4 linked regions of the Arabidopsis thaliana genome follow. The protein of the gene in region 2 interacts with the protein of the main gene of each other region in a pairwise test. Each region holds a gene or a part of one and is shown on either strand. Other genes may lie near its edges. The genes, in order: CLE44, AT1G01910, AT3G45160 and MSBP1.

Region 1 (3,964 bases), on a different chromosome or scaffold from region 2:
TTAACGAAAAATGACCGATTTCTCGAAGTTTTATACGACTAGAGAGCTTACGTGGTAGGTTTTGTTGTTCATAAGGAGCAGCCATAGATGAGCCTTCATTCTCCCTACTTTTGTTGTTTGTCGATGGACCCAAGAAACAACTCATTTCTAAAGAATCCAAAAACCTAAGCTAAAATTTAGTTTTGTAGGATCTCTCTTGTTAGTTTAAGAATAAATTTTGAAAATTTTCTTGATGGATTTCACAAGAACAACATAAAGTATGCCAGAGATCCTACAAACCCTGTTTTTATTTATTTATTTATCCAGACTTTAATAGTTGATTATGTTTTGTTGTTAAATTCAGATGTTTCTTAAGAAAGAAGACATGTTTGACGATGAAACAAGAACTAAAAAGACAACTTCATGATGAGATGTGAGCAGGCTGTTTTTTTTTTTTTTGGTTAGAAAACAACTTAGGGTTGAGGATATTAGTAGAACAGAGAATCTTTACTAACGTTTTCCAATAATAATTTACGATTCTTAATTATTACCAGATATCCTAATTAATGTTGACTTCTTCTTTTAGTATGTTTTTGTTATCTCTATTGTTTTTTGTTTAGCTTGTTTAAGTCTAATAGATCGCTAAAAGAAACGAATACCTAAAAATAATTCAATCAATTTTACCAAAATTGGGCTTCACTAGTTGTTCAGATCGCAAATGGGAATAATTTCGGGTTCAAACTTTTGATGTAAATTATATTCTACATCCTTGGTGCTTGAAAAGTAAAAATAGGGAATAATTTTTTTTATGAATTATTGTTTTAGTTTTTTTTTTTTTTTTTTACTTTTTTGTCATGAGATCATTTGTGTATAATATTCACATCGTAAGTCTAAACTATTTTTAATTTTAATGAAATAGTTTTTTTCTAGGTTAAAAAAAAGAAAGAGTAAAAATAGGTCAAATAGGTTAAAAATTTGTATGCACACCACTTAAACATCCACTTCACAGTTTTTTGACGTGAAACTCTAATAACCGATGACTTAACAAAAACCACCTTAAACCGAGATTAATAATCCATAGAATACAACTTAGTCTAAACATGTATTTATTTTGATATATAACTATTCAAACCATTTTTTACTCTTAAAATTGTATCGTTAAGTATAAAAGTGTCGTTAAAATGAAATAATGTATATTCCACATTCTTAAATTATTTACCGTAGATTTTAAATTTTCTTGTGTTCAACTATTTTTTTTTCTCTGAGAGTAACCCAATAGAATAAGCTCTAATATAATAAGCAGCCAATTGATTTTTGGCATATTATCATTCGTATGTCCCCATTTATATATATATATATATATATATATTTGGTTTAAAATTATAGATATATTATATATACATGCATCACTAAATATATAAAAGAAATAAAACAGAAATGTGAGGGAATTATATACAGATGGATACATACACATGTGAAAAGTATTTGTCTCTCCTTTTCTCATACAATGCTAACTTCCAAAACTTAGAAGACGAAGATCAAAAGATTTCAATAAACGAAGAAGGGAAATTCGTAAAGGAAACATAGATATATAATTAAGAATCCATGACAATTCTCTCCATCCATTACAAAATTCAATATTAATAATATACATTAACTCATCTCCAAACACCCCAAATATTTAATTAATTAAATTACCTTACCCAAAAAACCGGTTGCTCACCTAGTTGGAGATAGGGTTTGGACCACTTGGAACCTCATGAGCTTCAGCTCTGAACTCTCTCCTCCTCTTCCTCGCCGAAGAAGAAGAAGTGCCACTGCGTCTAGGGTGAGCTGTTGGACGCATTTTCATAGTAGATGAAGATGGAGTGGAAGGTTGTAGAAGGAACCTCTTGGAAGGAGCCATAGTGTTCTTAGATGAGGATTCATGAAGGTGATGATTCATGGAACTTGTAGGGCCAATGAGAAATAAGAAAGCTAAGAAGATGATTGTGATGATCAAACGGATGACTTGATGGAAATGCAATGACTTGATGCTGGTTTGATCAATTGTAGTTGCCATGCAATTATAAAGAAGAAAAAAACACCCCCCAAAACTTCAAGCAGGGCTCAATATCCATGAACCAGCAGAGCTCTACCAAATAAAAAGGCAAAAGAGAAATCTAGTACGAATAAGAAAATGAAGGAGGAGCTTGATGAGCTAATTATGAGAGAGAGAGATATTCAAATTTCCACACACGCACTTTAATCTAATAATGGTATAATAAAGATGTTGTTGGAAAACATCGCATCAAAGATTGTTCAGCCTTTGAAGAAAAAAATGGGACACCTGCTTATAAAAAAAGTGTGGCAGATATTGCACGAGGTATCAAATTACTAAAGAGCCCTTTTATGTGAGCATCTTTGAAGAGTGTGAGACATATACATGGGACAGAGTAGGGCTTTGAATAAGATGCACTATCAGTTCAGGTTTTCTTTGGTTAGGTTACGGTTTTGCCCCCTATGAATGTTTCTAATTTTTTGGTAGGACTGCCACTGGAGAAGAGGAAAATATCGAGGAAAAGGCCAAAGCATGTAATGGTCAATTGGCTATGGCAAAGAATCTTGAAAGCTAAGGAGAAAAAAGCAAAAGAGACTAGGTGAAATAAAGAAGGTTTTCATGCTTTTTTCCTCCTTTTGATTTATTTCTCAAGACTTTTTGTAGCTTTACTTGCTTACCTAAGAAAATGTTATGTTGACTACGCTTCGCCGATTATAGATATTGCGTGTCTAAAATAATGTCCCATTAAAAACTAGTCAAGAGACTCGAAGATAGTGAGTACAATATTAAAAATTACAAACACATTGCAACTTTGCAAGATCAATTGTTATTGTTTTACTTTAGTTACATTATTCAATATTATCTTGTAGTAAAAGGTTTGTTTTTTGAAAGCATCATTGTCAATTAATGTTCCATTTTCGGTGGTATAATAATTAGACAACTTAAGTTTTTTTTTATAATAAGAGTGTATTTTTATGTACACAATTAAACCCCACGAGGGAGGAAGGTGGATTGAATCCATTACATGTGACCACCTCACTATATTACCAAAAATACTGTACACCATATTTCCTTTATGAAAACCCCGAGAGAAACCGTAATAGAGATAAAAGCAAACGACTATATATTTTCATAAAATATTTGCATGCTACTTAGATTTGATTGAATTCGTGAAGACCAAATTTTTGTCATATCAATTGCTATGACAGAACGAATAGCTAACATAGGTTTTTAATGAATAATATTAAAGGAAAAAGGAATCATATACTCATGATATCCCCTAGTACAAGCAATGGCTTTTTTTATTTAATATGGTTGAGGATATATCTTCACGTTATCACCTATGTCTATATTCTCATGTATGTGCTTATCAACCTATATACTCGACGATTAGGGAACCTAATTAAGATGAAAAAACAAAGAATATAAGGTGGTGGAAGCATTCAAGCATGCAGCTGCAATATCCAGTGATACCTTTAAATTTGTCTTTGCATGAACAAGAATATTAATAAATGAACTTATTATATTACTCGATTTTGGAATAGTATAGAGTGCATGATTGTTTCCATACGTTTACGTGTATTATATGGGTCCCAAAATTTTCTCGGTATCGTGCACCCGAGAACGATAGTACTTCGTGCTCATTATCGTCATTTTTTCATCTCTTTTCCTTTTAATTTTTCTTTTTTATATATCATTTCCTTTTTTGTTTAAGTTAAGTTTTTTTTTTCTGCCATTAATTGGCCCATTCCCCATCGATGACGTTCATGGTATATACGTAGTTCATAACAGAGTTTTTAAAAATTGATACATATAGCAAATAGCAATTTACCATTGTGGGATTGATATTTTATTGTCCCTGATGACAATAACTCATACCTGCTACTGCTAGTCTGTTACCTCTTGTCTCCCTTCAACCTTTTTCCAAACTTTCACGTACATAAA
Region 2 (5,635 bases):
TCACCGGCGATGATCAAATCAGCAATCATGACGACGGCGAGGATCACTGACAATAGGAACCGACCGATCGGAGATAGAGGCGCCGCGGGAGCTGAATCGGCGGCCACAGCGTTTGCGTTTGGAGCGGGAAACGTGGATCCCACGCGAGCGGTAGATCCCGGGCTGGTATACGATACCTCCACCGTCGATTATCTCAACTACTTGTGCAGCTTGAACTACACGAGTGAGAGAATACTCTTGTTCTCCGGCACTAACTACACGTGTGCTAGTAACGCCGTCGTTTTGAGTCCCGGTGATTTGAACTATCCCTCGTTCGCGGTCAACCTCGTTAATGGCGCGAATTTGAAAACGGTGAGATATAAGAGGACTGTGACTAACGTTGGGTCACCGACTTGTGAGTATATGGTGCACGTTGAGGAACCAAAAGGTGTGAAGGTGAGAGTTGAACCAAAGGTGCTCAAGTTCCAGAAGGCCAGAGAGAGGTTGAGTTATACGGTGACGTATGATGCAGAAGCTTCGAGAAATTCGTCTTCGTCTTCCTTTGGAGTTTTGGTTTGGATATGTGACAAATACAACGTCAGAAGCCCAATCGCCGTGACGTGGGAATAAATTTCGCATCTATTGATTGCCATTTTCATATTTATTATATACCAAAGAAACTTATTGAACAAAAGCTTACCCTAAACTTGTAAGAATTTGTCAATAAATCAAAACATCTCTTATTTACTATAATTTTTTTACATGAATTTTCCTTCTCTGTTGCAAGACCAGTCTACAGTATATAAAAAGCTGTTACAAGAGATCATAGCATTCGCTTGTCACAGATACCCTTCAACTTAATATATAAAAAGCTGATTAAGTCGTAAAACAACGATTTCTTGGTAGATATGAGTCTATGTAGTCATGATTATTACAAATATAAAAACAAATCCAATGCATAACAATAAAACAACGCAAAAGAAGATTCTGCTTGATCTTCTTTCCTGTCCTATAAAGAGTTGTTGCTAGATGAAGAACTAGAGAGAAAAAGATTCAGTTTTAATTTTCCACCTATAAATTGTTCAAAACATAAACAACAATAAACCCAAATGACAACGCAGATCCAGAAGACCCCCATGTAGAAAGCAAGTGAGTTCCAAGAATATGGCGAGGAAAGAAACTTACAATTAAAGGGAAGAACAGAGCCTTATCTTTAGCCACTCTTGACCCGTTCGAGTTCTTCTTCAGCTGTTTTTAACTGCAAACGCAATGTGTGTACTTTCCTCTCCAGCTCCTCTACATTGCTCCTGCTAGTGGTAGGATGGTACGGCGTCAAGAACTTATGTGAAAACGCCTTTAAGGCTTCAACCCCTGTCACCTGTGATCCAAACATCCACAACAAGTGTAAATCTCAGGATGTATATTATATAAGGCTTTAGTTTCATTTTCGTCTTGATCATGTTCCTTCTCATCTATATTGAATGTCATGCGTTCTTACCTCTTCCGGAAGCAGAGGAAGCTTTGTGATATTAAAGTCATCGTATAGCATATAAAACTGATCAAGATACTTCTGTTGCATCCGCATCCTTGCTCTGAGCAACTTGGACTCCACATCTACAGAAGACAAGTGTAGATAATTCGTCAAATTTGTATGTAAAACAAGTTCAAAACGAGAAGATAGACACGACAGCAAATAAATAGGCACCTTCGTCGTCGTATAGTACTTGGTTGATGATAATGTTATGCGTGTCAATCTCAAACTTGGCGAGTTCCTGAACAAGTCTCTCTGTTTCATAGAGAGACAAGAACTCGGGGATGCAGACACAAACGAACGTAGTCATATCCTACGTAATGGAGCCAAATGTGTCAATTTCTTATCTTAAAATGCAGAGTTTGTTAGATATGTATCAGAATTTTCACTAATGCAAATGAATGCTGTCAAACCGTATGCTACAGAACAATGTGAAGAATCTAAAACTAAACTTCACGAACAGAGTTAAGAAAACAGTCAATGAGTACTGAAAATAGCAAAGAACTTAAACAATTGAAAAAATGTTACCGGGTCTTTGAATTGCCGATTTACTTGCTCAATCACATCTTTCAAGCCCTCAAGTCTTCCCAGCAAAGCATCCTCTCCGAACTCATCCTCCATGCCAAACATACGGCTCATCTGCATTACCAATCAGTTCCATGAAAAATCAGCCAAAGAAGAAACCAAAGAGCAATATCTGTTGCCAAGCAAACTGAATTTGACAAGCTTAAAGACATGCCTGAGTCATCAAGCCACCAAATCTACTCTTCAATGACATCAACTTCGAAAGTCCCTTTTCTAGTGTGGCCGGAAACTGTAACAGGCGGAGAGTATGTCCAGTAGGAGCAGTGTCAAACACAATAGTAGCATAATCCATTGTTTGCACCAACCTAAGGAAACATAAACATATCAAAATTTGACTGTGATAATACATGGATAAAGGCAGATGATTACTAGAAGAACTAAATGGCTATTTACTTCAACATCTCAGCAAAACTCATAGCCTCATCGATTCCAGGAATCGCATTTGCCAAATCAGAGAATAAACCATCCATCCCGTCTGTACCAGCCATGTCATCAGTTTCAACGGTAGGATCTACCTCCTGAGAAAAGCAAACAAGATTCACTCACTATCAAGAGGGAAGGAGTGTGAATCGTAACCATTTGCTTATAGTATGTGTATATATATACATATACACACAGACACAACTAAGAGCTTCAAGCTTAGAAGAGTAGCCATAAAGTCATCATCAAGCCTGTCTATTAGAGGCGACCCAGAACCACAAAAAACAACTTTTTTTTTTTTTTTTGAATTTGGCATAACTAGCCATGAATTTTAACTACAATAGACAAAAATTCGATTTGATTTGGGGACATCAAATCTTCTTCACAATCCCCTTCCGTATCAAGAATACAAATTGGCGTCCAAATTCCAAACCTAATCCCCAAAATCAGAGTGGGCATATGATAAGAAAGGCACAAATCAACCGTATTTATGCAAGTACTAAATCTGACTTCAAAATCAAAATTGATCCATCAATCTGCGGTTTGAAATTCGTGAATCAGAGAACCCTAATTCCCAATGAGATTAAAATCCAGGAGCGAAACTACCAAATTCCCTCTAAAATCTAGCACGATCTAGAACAAAATCGGAGAAAGCTTACCATGGCAAAGAGATTAGAGAAACCTTGAACCAAAGTGGGAGATTTAGTGAAGCGTTGCTGAAAGGCATCACTAAGATTGTGAGCAGGATCGGTGGAGATGATGAGAACGGAGGATCGAACACTGGCGAGACAAATTGCGAGAATTGAACTGCATGTCGTCTTCCCAACACCTCCTTTACCTCCGACGAAAACCCATTTAAGAGACTCTTGGTCCAGAATGTTCTGTACTGTCGCCTCCGGCAAATCCGCCGCCATTGCTAATTCCTTGCTCGTCTCTCTTCCACTAGTCTCAATCTAAAGAGCTCCTTGTTAGATATTTGGCGTACGGAAGAGTTTAACTGCGGCGAGAGACTTTTAACGCCGCCCGGTTCAATATTTTGGTTCTCGGTTTTGGGATATCACAGCAGTCTTGGTTTGATTTTTTTGGTTATCGTTTTTCACTTGTTCAATTTTTCTTTTTTTGTTAAAAATTTAAATTTGGTGTGTTTAAGTTCATAAACGCTAAATAAGCCCATACAAAAGCCCACATAGATGAAGCCATTACGACAGCGTATTGTGAGTTACGATTGAAAACCCCTCTCTACTCGGTTAAACCCGTCGCCGGCATATTGATCTTCGCCGGAGGATATGGCGATTTCAGAAGAAGAAGCCAAACTCGAAAGGTTCCTAGATTGGCTTCAGGTTAGATCCGGATTAAGTGTTGTTTTTCAGTCCTGATCTGCTGCTCTATATCATGGCATTTTGTGTTTCGATCTAATTTCATTCAGGTGAATGGAGGTGAATTAAGAGGCTGCAACATCAAATATTCTGACTCCCTAAAAGGATTTGGCATATTCGCTTCCACCTCCACTCAAGCTTCCGATGGTATAGTATTGTTCTTACCATTTCTTGCTGGGTTTTTTTCCGGGGAATATGTATGGAAAGTTGATATTGAATTCTGATTCAGCTCTGGAAATTTTCAGAAGTTTTGCTTGTTGTTCCGCTTGATCTGGCCATTACCCCTATGAGAGTTCTTCAGGACCCTCTCCTGGGCCCTGAGTGTCAGAAAATGTTCGAACAAGGACAAGTTGATGACCGCTTTCTCATGATTCTGTTCCTCACTTTGGAGCGTCTTCGTATCAATTCTTCTTGGAAGCCGTAAGTTTTTTTTTTAATCTCTTAGCACACATTTACGTAAGCTTAAGGGTATTCATCTGTCTAGAAATGATATGATAGGTATCTTGATATGCTTCCTACTCGATTTGGCAATCCTCTTTGGTTTTCTGATGATGACATCCTTGAGCTAAAAGGGACTAACTTGTATCACGCAACCGAGTTACAGGTCTCAATCTTGATCATTTATTCCTGTCTTATCATATCGTCCTTAAAATAGCAACCACATTTTCTCTTTTCATTTATTAAACCCAATAACCATCGTGTATTCATTCTCAGAAGAAGAAGTTGCTCTCGCTTTACCATGACAAGGTGGAGGTCCTGGTGACAAAGCTTCTTATTTTGGATGGCGATTCCGAAAGGTTGACATATTTACACTACTTTTAGACCAAATTATTGTTCATTGATAATCATATTTTGTTTTCTCTCTTCGTGCAGCAAGGTCTCCTTTGAACACTTCCTCTGGTATGTTTGGTACTGGTGTTATTCCTTGTTAGTAGAACCAGACTTTTGTGTCTTGTAAAGGGCTGCTTAGTGATCTTGCGACTTTTTTCAATTATGCCAGGGCAAACTCTGTATTCTGGAGTCGCGCCTTGAATATTCCTCTTCCACATTCTTTCGTGTTTCCACAAAGCCAAGATGATACCGGGGAATGCACATCAACAAGTGAGTCCCCTGAAACGGCTCCAGTTAATTCTAATGAGGAAAAAGGCAAGTCATTAACGTCGGTCTGCTGAATTCTGTGTGAAATGCCTCTTTTTTAATTATTATTATTCTATCATGTAACGACAATTTCATGGGTTTCTTCATTTTCTGATGGGTAGAAATTCAGGCTCAACCTGCGCCATCTGTAGGATCCGGAGATACAATATGGGTTGAGGGGCTTGTTCCTGGCATTGACTTTTGCAACCATGGTATGCCAATCTTTGTTTCAAAAAGACTCTATTATCAGTTTCTCCGTTCCATAATGTTGATATGGTTAATGAGTATATCCCAGTGTGATGTGATATAATGACCTATGGTTATGGCAGTATAGATTTGAAGCCTGTGGCGACTTGGGAAGTTGATGGGATCGGATCAGTATCTAGGGTTCCTTTCTCCATGTACCTTCTCTCTGGTTGGCCAAATATTTGTTTGTGTTACCTCTCAGCTTTCTACAATTTTTCAATCAAACAATACAGAACATTCTTTTTCCTCTCTTCTTTTTGATCTGTATGCGGAAAACTAAGTGCTACAATTCTGTAAAGCAGTTGCTCAACGTCCTATCCCAAAGAAGGAGATCTCGATCAGTTATGGTAACAAAGGAAAT
Region 3 (3,599 bases), on a different chromosome or scaffold from region 2:
TTACTTTATAGATTGGTTAATATGTATTTAGAGAAAAATACTATTTAACCTTTATTTAGATTAAAAAAAAAAACTTGAGTAAGAAAATGGTTTAAAATTCTTAAAGAAAATTCCAGCTCACTTTAAGCTAGAAAAAGAGATTATATAGTTTATAGTATAAAAATAAATTTAATCATACCATGTTTAATAAAATTTGAAGAAAAACTTATTTTCTTTTTCCATGAATAACAAGATTTTTCTTAACAATTAAAATTTCTTTTAGCAACATATATTAATACTTTAGTTTTCTGTTTTTTTGTTGGACATGGGTTCCGCCCCATTCCAAAAAGCCCGGCCCAAATATAGTTAGGCCCATAAGAAAGAGACTTGCGTTTGGTCCGTTACACAAGCTCAGCCCATTAAGTATCGTCAATTTGCTGGGAGCAGAAAAGAAAAATCATCCCGAGTTCATGACCGCATATATCTTCCCTATAAAAGCGGAAAAACACTGTCGAGAAAGGATCCCGAATTTCACGCTGACACATATGTAGAGAGTACATGTAATCTCCTTCGTACAAGTTTCCCCATTGAGTTCCTAGGAAGCCTTTTTTTAATCGTTAGTACGTACGAACATCTTTCGAACCAAACGCCTTGTCCGTCATTCTTGCACCTTTATTCAAACGAGTTGGATACATTGTCTTCTCGGATTGTCCTTGTAAACTCGTACCTTCACCTTGTATAATCTTGTATTCGCCAAACCTAATTCGTCTTATAAGAGATTATCCGTCCTTCTCCTTAAACCTTTACATGAATTGTATGATTTGAGTATCAACAGTTTTTGTTTAGGGAACTACGGTTTCAGCTTCAAGCAACTCTGACGGTTCTAATGGTCATCGATGGCCAAAAAAGTGCAAGAAAGTATTTTTCAAAATAGAATTACTCAGTTATACATAGGGAACAAAAAAAAGATAATACAATAATCGAACATAATTAGACATTCTTAATAAAGCATTAAGAGGTTCAGATTTATAGAAGGATTGCCTCATATTCATAGGTTTTATTTTTATAATTTTTTTTTTCTTTAACATCTATATATTCATATTGATATCGTTTTCGCGATTTCTTTTGAGTTATCCACCACCACCACCTCCTCCATTATTTTCGCCTCCAGGTCCATAGTTGTAGAAATCTTGTCTTGGGATATAATGGTGATTCTCCACGCTGCTTCTTGGGTGCTCTATTTTCTCAGTAGAGTCTTCTTCTTTCCCTATGATCATCTCTCGGGACACTTTTTCGCTTTCTTGATTAGTTTCCCGGGGAATTATATTCCTTGCAGCCAAACATGAGCTTATAATGACCATCATCACCATAATAACAACCACAACATGCTTAGAGTTTATCCCCATATTGGTTTTATTATGAGCTGCAAAAGAAAGAAAGAATAGTCTTTACATAAACAGAACCTTGAAGATCTTAGTATATTGACATGAAATGAGTATAACTTACCTTTGCAACTAATCGTAACAAGCGTTGATGGGTTTAGTTAAGTACCCTTAAAGGGAAAAAGATAAGAGTTTAAGACATTGATATTTATACATGCAGGAGAATAGGGTTTTTGTTATGGTGGGTTGACTATTTGAGATCATATTTTAAAATTATACGATTTAGGTACGATGTGACCCCCGGTGCCTAGTGGTGAGACAATCACAAGTGGGAGAGGCCTCTTATTGGAGAATTAAATTTTTTCTTAAGAAGGAAAGAATTGTGATGACAAAATGATGAAGTTGGTTGAAAAAGGGTTGTCTATTATTGGCACTACGAATAGGGAAAACCCACGTTACTTTATGGATTAGCATTGTATTAAGTGGTGCTTTTACAAAAGTGTAAAAGTAACTAGATTTTATCCCGCGGTATACAATTTATCTTTTTAAAGTTAGTATAATATTTTTTTTGCAAATTGTATCTATTTATAATATATTTTTATTTTATAGTTTACAATTGTTATTAAGTAACGTCCTGCCAAACCCGTCCCGCCAAATCCGTCCCGTAAAAAAACCATTTATTTATATTAATGTTGATCTTATTAAAGATATGTTTATAAATCATTGTCTAAATATTTTTGTCGATGCGGGACGTTGAACCCACACATTTTTTGCTAATTGGTTAATATATGTTCATTTTTAAAATTTTGAATCATAAAATATGACGGAAAAATTAAGATTTTTTTAAACTCTATATATTATATAATGATGTTAAAAAATTGTAATATATCAAACTTTTTATAAGTTTAAATATTAATAATGTTTTATAAATTTTAAATATATAAATAATAATATTTAAAAAAATAATATTTTTGTTTATAAGGTAATGACATAATAACTCTAAAAGCAAGGATTTAGAAGATTTAAATCTTTAATTAAATATTTTCATTAATAAATAATTAATGTCAGTGACATGACATTGTAAATAAATTCAAATACAAAATTTATTTATTTAAACAAAAAAACGTTTAGTAAGAATAATATTTATTTAACAAAAAACTTTATTTTAAAATATTGTTAACAAATATGTTTATGCTAATTTTAAGGGATTGATTTGAAGTTTGGTAGGATTAAATTTGATTCATAATATGATTGACAATTTAAATCAAAAATTTAAAGTAAAATTAATTATTTTGGAAAAAAGATTTAATGCTAATGGCATTAGATTGTAAATAAGTCCAAGTGCAGGATTTATTTGCTAAAATGGCTGCAAAAATGTATATATAGATTAAAACTTTTCTAAAACACCTGAGTGATTACTATTCGTGCATAGGATACTTTTCGAATTGATTTTTTGAGATTTGCTCGGACTAATAGGTCGTCAAAGGAGGCATTATTTCCCATATTCCACCTCCCAAAGAACATATTCTAGTACGACATTTGTTACCGATCATCGGAGGATTAAAATCCATTTGTTCTCTGGTTGATATAATCGCTACCCTAATTGGTTCACTAAATATCCAGCAAAACGACATTTTCACCAACACGAGTTGAAGATGTGTTTTTGTATACTAGAAATGTCTATGAAGACCAAGTGTCGTTAGCTAAATTGGTAAAAACCCTGGGCGAAACTTAGAGGTCGCTGGTTCGAGTGACGCTTGGGACAAAATTAATATTACATGTCGTGGTTTCGGGCCTAGGAGGATTACGGGTTTCGGCCCAAAACCTCTTAGTATTCGAAAAAGAAAAAAAAATTGTCTATGAAATGACTTTGAGTTTTGCCCCTAAGAGACACTATAATGCGGATCCAATGGGCGGGACTAACAATGTATTGGTCCTTTCGAGCGGTCGATAAATTTTAACGTCTTGATCATAGAGTAATTTTGGTGAGACTTGTCTACATGTTGCTTCTAGATTGGAAAGAGGAAAATCACTCACATAATTACGATGAAATAGATTAGATATTCGTTTTCAGAAGTTTACTTTGTTTTAGTGCAAAGAGAAAGTAAATGTTAGCACAGTGATCTTTCTTCCACTACAAAAAGTTGGAATCCAATTGATTCATTAATAATTAACCCTTGAAGGAATAAATTATAAAGTATAACAAATTAATAACAGATTCCTGGCTTTTGGTTAGTA
Region 4 (4,498 bases), on a different chromosome or scaffold from region 2:
AGTTTTAGTGCTTACGAATATTACAGTATTCTCTCGAAGATGGTTACTTAACAATCCAAATTCATTTTCACAAGATCTATTACTCTTAATGTCTAACCATCTCAGTAAAGTAACCATATAATTCCTTTTCACACGAAGTAAACTAAGAGACAAACTTTTAAAAATTCAAGAAAAACTTAAAAAAAATAAACATCTCCAATCATGCACACAAGTAATAAGAGCTTTCTAAGCCACAGTGGAACCAAGTAAAATCAATTGAGTTCAAAATGTAGCTACATAACAAAGCTTTGATCAAACTACATCATCTATAACAAAACAAAAAGTCAGGTCAAGACCATTTTCAGACACTTAATCAACTAGACCTCTTCTCTTTTGATCACATGTCATCTTTCCCTAAAAGCTAAGCATTGCATGCAAGAGAAAATCACTCAAACGTCACAAAAGACTTCACCTTTTTCCATCATTACAAAATCATACAATCAGAAACTAAGAGTGAATCAAAGTATTTGGCACTTCAATAAAGATAACTACAATTTCCACAAAAGGAGCTAACAAGAACCAAACATGCAAAAGACAATCAAAATTAAGAAAAGGGTTTAAAACTCATAAATCACCTTATCCTTTCTCCCATTCTTCCTCACTCTAATTTCCACTTTCCTCTCAGCCGACAAACCATCAGAGATCCCTTCTCCGTTCATCTCTCCGGTCACCGTAAAACCACTTTCCTCTCTCTCTTGTATCCCTGATTCACAACTCAGAATGGTTTATCAACTCAAAACGCCAAAACCCATCAAGAATTGTCGGATTCAGATAATGGACACCGTCGGAAGTTATAAAGAAGGAACCTTTTTATTTTGTCTGATTGTGTGATTTGGTTCTGTCTCCACTAAGGTAAATAAGAAAAATAGTAGGATTTAATGGGGAAGAAGAAGAAAGGGTTTACACGTGTAGTGTGGAGGAGTTTCAATGGAGATTCCCCGATTTGAGAGGTTCAAGAAAACTCAGTCCACCAGCACGCGAGTCTTCTGGCCCAACGCTTCTCTTCTCTGATTGCAATTTAGCTCATTTTCTCCATTTTATTCTCTTGTACTGTTTGTTGTTTACTTCCATTGTTATTGTCCCAATTTTAAAAAAACTTACACTGTATATTAAAAAACATTTGCTTGATTTGGTTATAAAATCTAATTGCAAATCTATTTATGATGATATTTTTTGGGAAACATTTAAGACTTTGTTATCATTTTTTGACCCAAAAGAAAAAAAAAATGTTATTATTGTAAATGTTAGGATTGGAAGATTTATCATGAGAAGAAAAGTGAAAAATACTAATATAGTCAATTATGAATTTTCATAAATCTGAATTAAATATAATTTATTTTTACTTAATATATAGTTTTAATTACTTTTTGTTTAAATTTATGTTATTAAATTTGGTATTTGTATATCATGTTTAAAAGATTTAGAAGTATGATTTTATTCTATTTCTAGTGATTTAATTATTGAAACTTTGATTTTTAAAAAAGTTTATGTATTAATAAATTATTTGGATTGAAGGTTATATCAATGTTATAAAATGTGTTTTAAAATCTGAAAAGTGGTTGATTTTTTCTTTTTAAATTCTGCATCCACGAAACTTATTTTTCTTAAAACTTATTTTTCTTTTCGAGGTTATGATTCTTTTTAGTTTTTTTTATCAAATTTCATGATGAAAATAACTGAATTGAACATCAAAGATTTTCAGAAAATACTCTACTGCTTTTTTCTTAACTATATTCTAGCCATTTACATATCTAAGCTTGATGTCTTTTCTATTTCGTCGAAAATCTATCTATTTTACGGCAGAGACTTGAAACCCGAATTTTGACATATCAAAAACACTAACACAATCCCATGTACTACATTATCATTTGTATTTTACTTATAGAAGAAAATAACTTTTTATTTAAAAATTGTATGGTAAAAATAAAGATTAGTTCCCTAATAACTATATAAAAAATCTTATTCGGTCGTTTTAGCTGTATTTAACTTTTAAACCCAAGAAAGAAAAAAATCAATCAACCAAGGAAGTAGTACAACAACAAGAGTCAAAACCCAACAACTCTCTATCTAGCACAAAAGCCTGACTTTTACAAAGACAAGCCTTTTCAACACACTACTGATCTTGAGAATCCTCTCTTCAAAGCCATGGCGTTAGAACTATGGCAAACTCTCAAAGAAGCAATCCATGCTTACACAGGTCTTTCTCCTGTTGTCTTCTTCACTGCTCTAGCTCTCGCCTTCGCCATTTACCAAGTCATCTCAGGCTGGTTTGCCTCGCCGTTCGATGATGTTAACCGACATCAGAGAGCTAGATCCTTGGCTCAAGAGGAGGAGCCACCGATTCCTCAGCCTGTTCAAGTCGGTGAGATCACGGAGGAGGAGCTTAAACAGTACGATGGCTCTGATCCTCAAAAGCCCCTTCTTATGGCTATCAAACATCAGATCTATGATGTTACACAAAGCAGGTGAAATTTCTGAATCTAAAAAGCGAAATTAGGTTATGGGTTTGATTCATTGTTTCCTCTAATCTTGTTTTAGCGTATAAAGACTTGGACTTTGCATACTTTTATGATCTATAAAGCTGTGAGAATCGTAAAGTTGTTCACTTTGAGAATCAATTTCACAAAGGAGTTTTGTTTTGAGAATCAATTTCAGAAAAGCACATTGGAAAAGTTGATCCTTTTTGTTACTTTTATACAAGAGAAAGATTCAAAGGAATATGTTTTTGTTGTTGATGTTTGCTAGTGATTGAGATCATGTTGTGAAATATCTTAGCTCTATCTTCGAGTATAATCAATCTCTTAGACTGGTTTTAGTGTCTCAAGTGTTGTGTTTGTAATGAAAGGTTGGATTTTTATTGTCTTCCTCAAATCTCGTTTTACTCTATAACAACTTGGACTTTGCATAGTTTTATCTATGAAGCTGTGATATCCATAAAGTTGTTCACTTTGAGAATCAATTTCACAAAAGTTGTGCTTTTCTATGTAATCGAGCTTTTGAGTGGCATAGTGTTAATTTACCCTTTTGCTTCCTTCATACAAGAACAGGATTCAAAGGAAGTTGTAATATGTTCTTGTTGTTAATGTCTGCTTGTGGTTGAGATCTTTAGTGAAAACTCTTTGTTAATCTTTGAGTATAATGAATTGATCATCTTCTTATGATAGTCTAGTCTGGTTTTTGCGTATTTAAATTAAATGTTGTGTTTGTGATGAAAGGTTTGATATTTATTGGTTTTGTAGGATGTTCTACGGACCAGGAGGACCATATGCTTTGTTTGCAGGGAAAGACGCTAGCCGAGCTCTTGCAAAGATGTCATTTGAGGAGAAAGACTTGACTTGGGATGTCTCTGGTCTTGGTCCCTTTGAGCTAGATGCTCTTCAAGATTGGGAGTACAAGTTCATGAGCAAGTATGCTAAGGTTGGTACTGTCAAAGTGGCTGGTTCAGAACCTGAAACCGCATCTGTCTCTGAACCCACAGAGAATGTTGAGCAAGATGCTCATGTAACCACAACGCCTGGGAAGACCGTTGTTGATAAGAGTGATGATGCTCCTGCTGAGACTGTGTTGAAGAAGGAGGAGTAGAGCCCATTTCCAAGATTTGCTCTGATTTGTCATAGAGACCAGTTTTATGAAAAGGATTGTAGAATCTCTAATGTTGAAGTGTCAATGATAATCTTGTTTTACTTTCCCAAAAAATAAAGATTGCTGATTAATGATAAGAAAAAAATGTTTTATAAACTGCATATCAGAAGGCGTTGCATTGCATGATTACAATGTAGTCGAGTTCATACTTGTGGTTTGTGAATCTGCATGATTAATCTGGAAACTAAAACATTAAACCTGATCCTTTTTTTGTAAATTCTCTTCATCCTTTTGGTTACTACTATAGGAAGTTTTTAAGTTGGTCACTAAATCCATATCAATTGGGAAATAGAGTATTCAATTGTGATCCTCGATGTTTAAGAATTGGGGCAAAGAAGACAGTTGACCACGTTCTTCTGAGTGTTCCTTGCATTGCAGATATGTGCGCTCGATCTCCTCAGCACTATGGAAATTTCGGTGTCGTCGGTATTTGCAAATTTGGATATTCTTTTCTTGGAACAACCTGGCTCTTCAAAAGATTTAACCTTTCCATGGATTATTTGATACATTGGAAGGCACGTAATGATAAGGTTTTTAATGATACATTTGAGAAACTGCACAGCTGCAAGAACATAAGACAAGTACCTTTGAACAACGGTCTTTATTACAAAAACTGGAGTTTGAAGTCACAAATTAATGTTTTATAAAATAGTTCATTTTTTTTGGTAAACATGTGAAGATTTTATAGATAGTTGATGGAAGGAGACTCGATATGTTTTCAAATATAGGTTGGATCGGTTTTCATAACGACATAGAAGGATCTCTTTTTAGAGTTAGGAATCTATGCATAAGCCTTTCTCCTATGATCAAGCATCAA

Evidence for each region.
Region 1: the proteins of AT1G01910 (region 2) and CLE44 interact in a two-hybrid assay, tested with the Arabidopsis thaliana proteins (one large-scale study listed by BioGRID).
Region 3: the proteins of AT1G01910 (region 2) and AT3G45160 interact in a two-hybrid assay, tested with the Arabidopsis thaliana proteins (one large-scale study listed by BioGRID).
Region 4: the proteins of AT1G01910 (region 2) and MSBP1 interact in a two-hybrid assay, tested with the Arabidopsis thaliana proteins (one large-scale study listed by BioGRID).

The regions. Positions count from the first base shown.
Region 1 is NC_003075.7:7,660,962-7,664,925, forward strand, and holds CLE44 (CLAVATA3/ESR-RELATED 44), read right to left. Parts: upstream 2,301-3,964; 5' UTR 2,042-2,300; coding exon 1,703-2,041; 3' UTR 831-1,702; downstream 1-830. Other genes in the region: AT4G13190 (Protein kinase superfamily protein), read right to left, coding at 52-145.
Region 2 is NC_003070.9:312,403-318,037, forward strand, and holds AT1G01910 (P-loop containing nucleoside triphosphate hydrolases superfamily protein), read right to left. Parts: upstream 3,689-5,635; 5' UTR 3,430-3,688; coding exon 3,175-3,429; intron 2,614-3,174; coding exon 2,489-2,613; intron 2,401-2,488; coding exon 2,250-2,400; intron 2,150-2,249; coding exon 2,039-2,149; exon of another isoform or gene 1,824-2,038; coding exon 1,685-1,823; intron 1,594-1,684; coding exon 1,478-1,593; coding exon of another isoform or gene 1,470-1,477; intron 1,358-1,469; coding exon 1,193-1,357; 3' UTR 752-1,192; downstream 1-751. Other genes in the region: SBTI1.1 (subtilase family protein), read left to right, coding at 1-609; AT1G01920 (SET domain-containing protein), read left to right, coding at 3,802-3,855, 3,942-4,038, 4,137-4,311, 4,390-4,495, 4,606-4,688, 4,765-4,791, 4,892-5,054, 5,159-5,240 and 2 more. UniProt on the Arabidopsis thaliana protein: ATPase required for the post-translational delivery of tail-anchored (TA) proteins to the endoplasmic reticulum. Recognizes and selectively binds the transmembrane domain of TA proteins in the cytosol.
Region 3 is NC_003074.8:16,532,546-16,536,144, forward strand, and holds AT3G45160 (Putative membrane lipoprotein), read right to left. Parts: upstream 1,721-3,599; 5' UTR 1,486-1,720; intron 1,403-1,485; 5' UTR 1,386-1,402; coding exon 1,110-1,385; 3' UTR 883-1,109; downstream 1-882.
Region 4 is NC_003076.8:21,210,937-21,215,434, forward strand, and holds MSBP1 (membrane steroid binding protein 1), read left to right. Parts: upstream 1-2,003; 5' UTR 2,004-2,184; coding exon 2,185-2,504; intron 2,505-3,278; coding exon 3,279-3,621; 3' UTR 3,622-3,675; coding exon of another isoform or gene 3,676-3,683; 3' UTR 3,684-3,906; downstream 3,907-4,498. Other genes in the region: MBD13 (methyl-CPG-binding domain protein 13), read right to left, coding at 615-698. UniProt on the Arabidopsis thaliana protein: MSBP1 can bind to multiple steroid compounds with different affinities. Negatively regulates cell elongation and brassinosteroid signaling. May act as a coreceptor with BAK1 and enhances its endocytosis.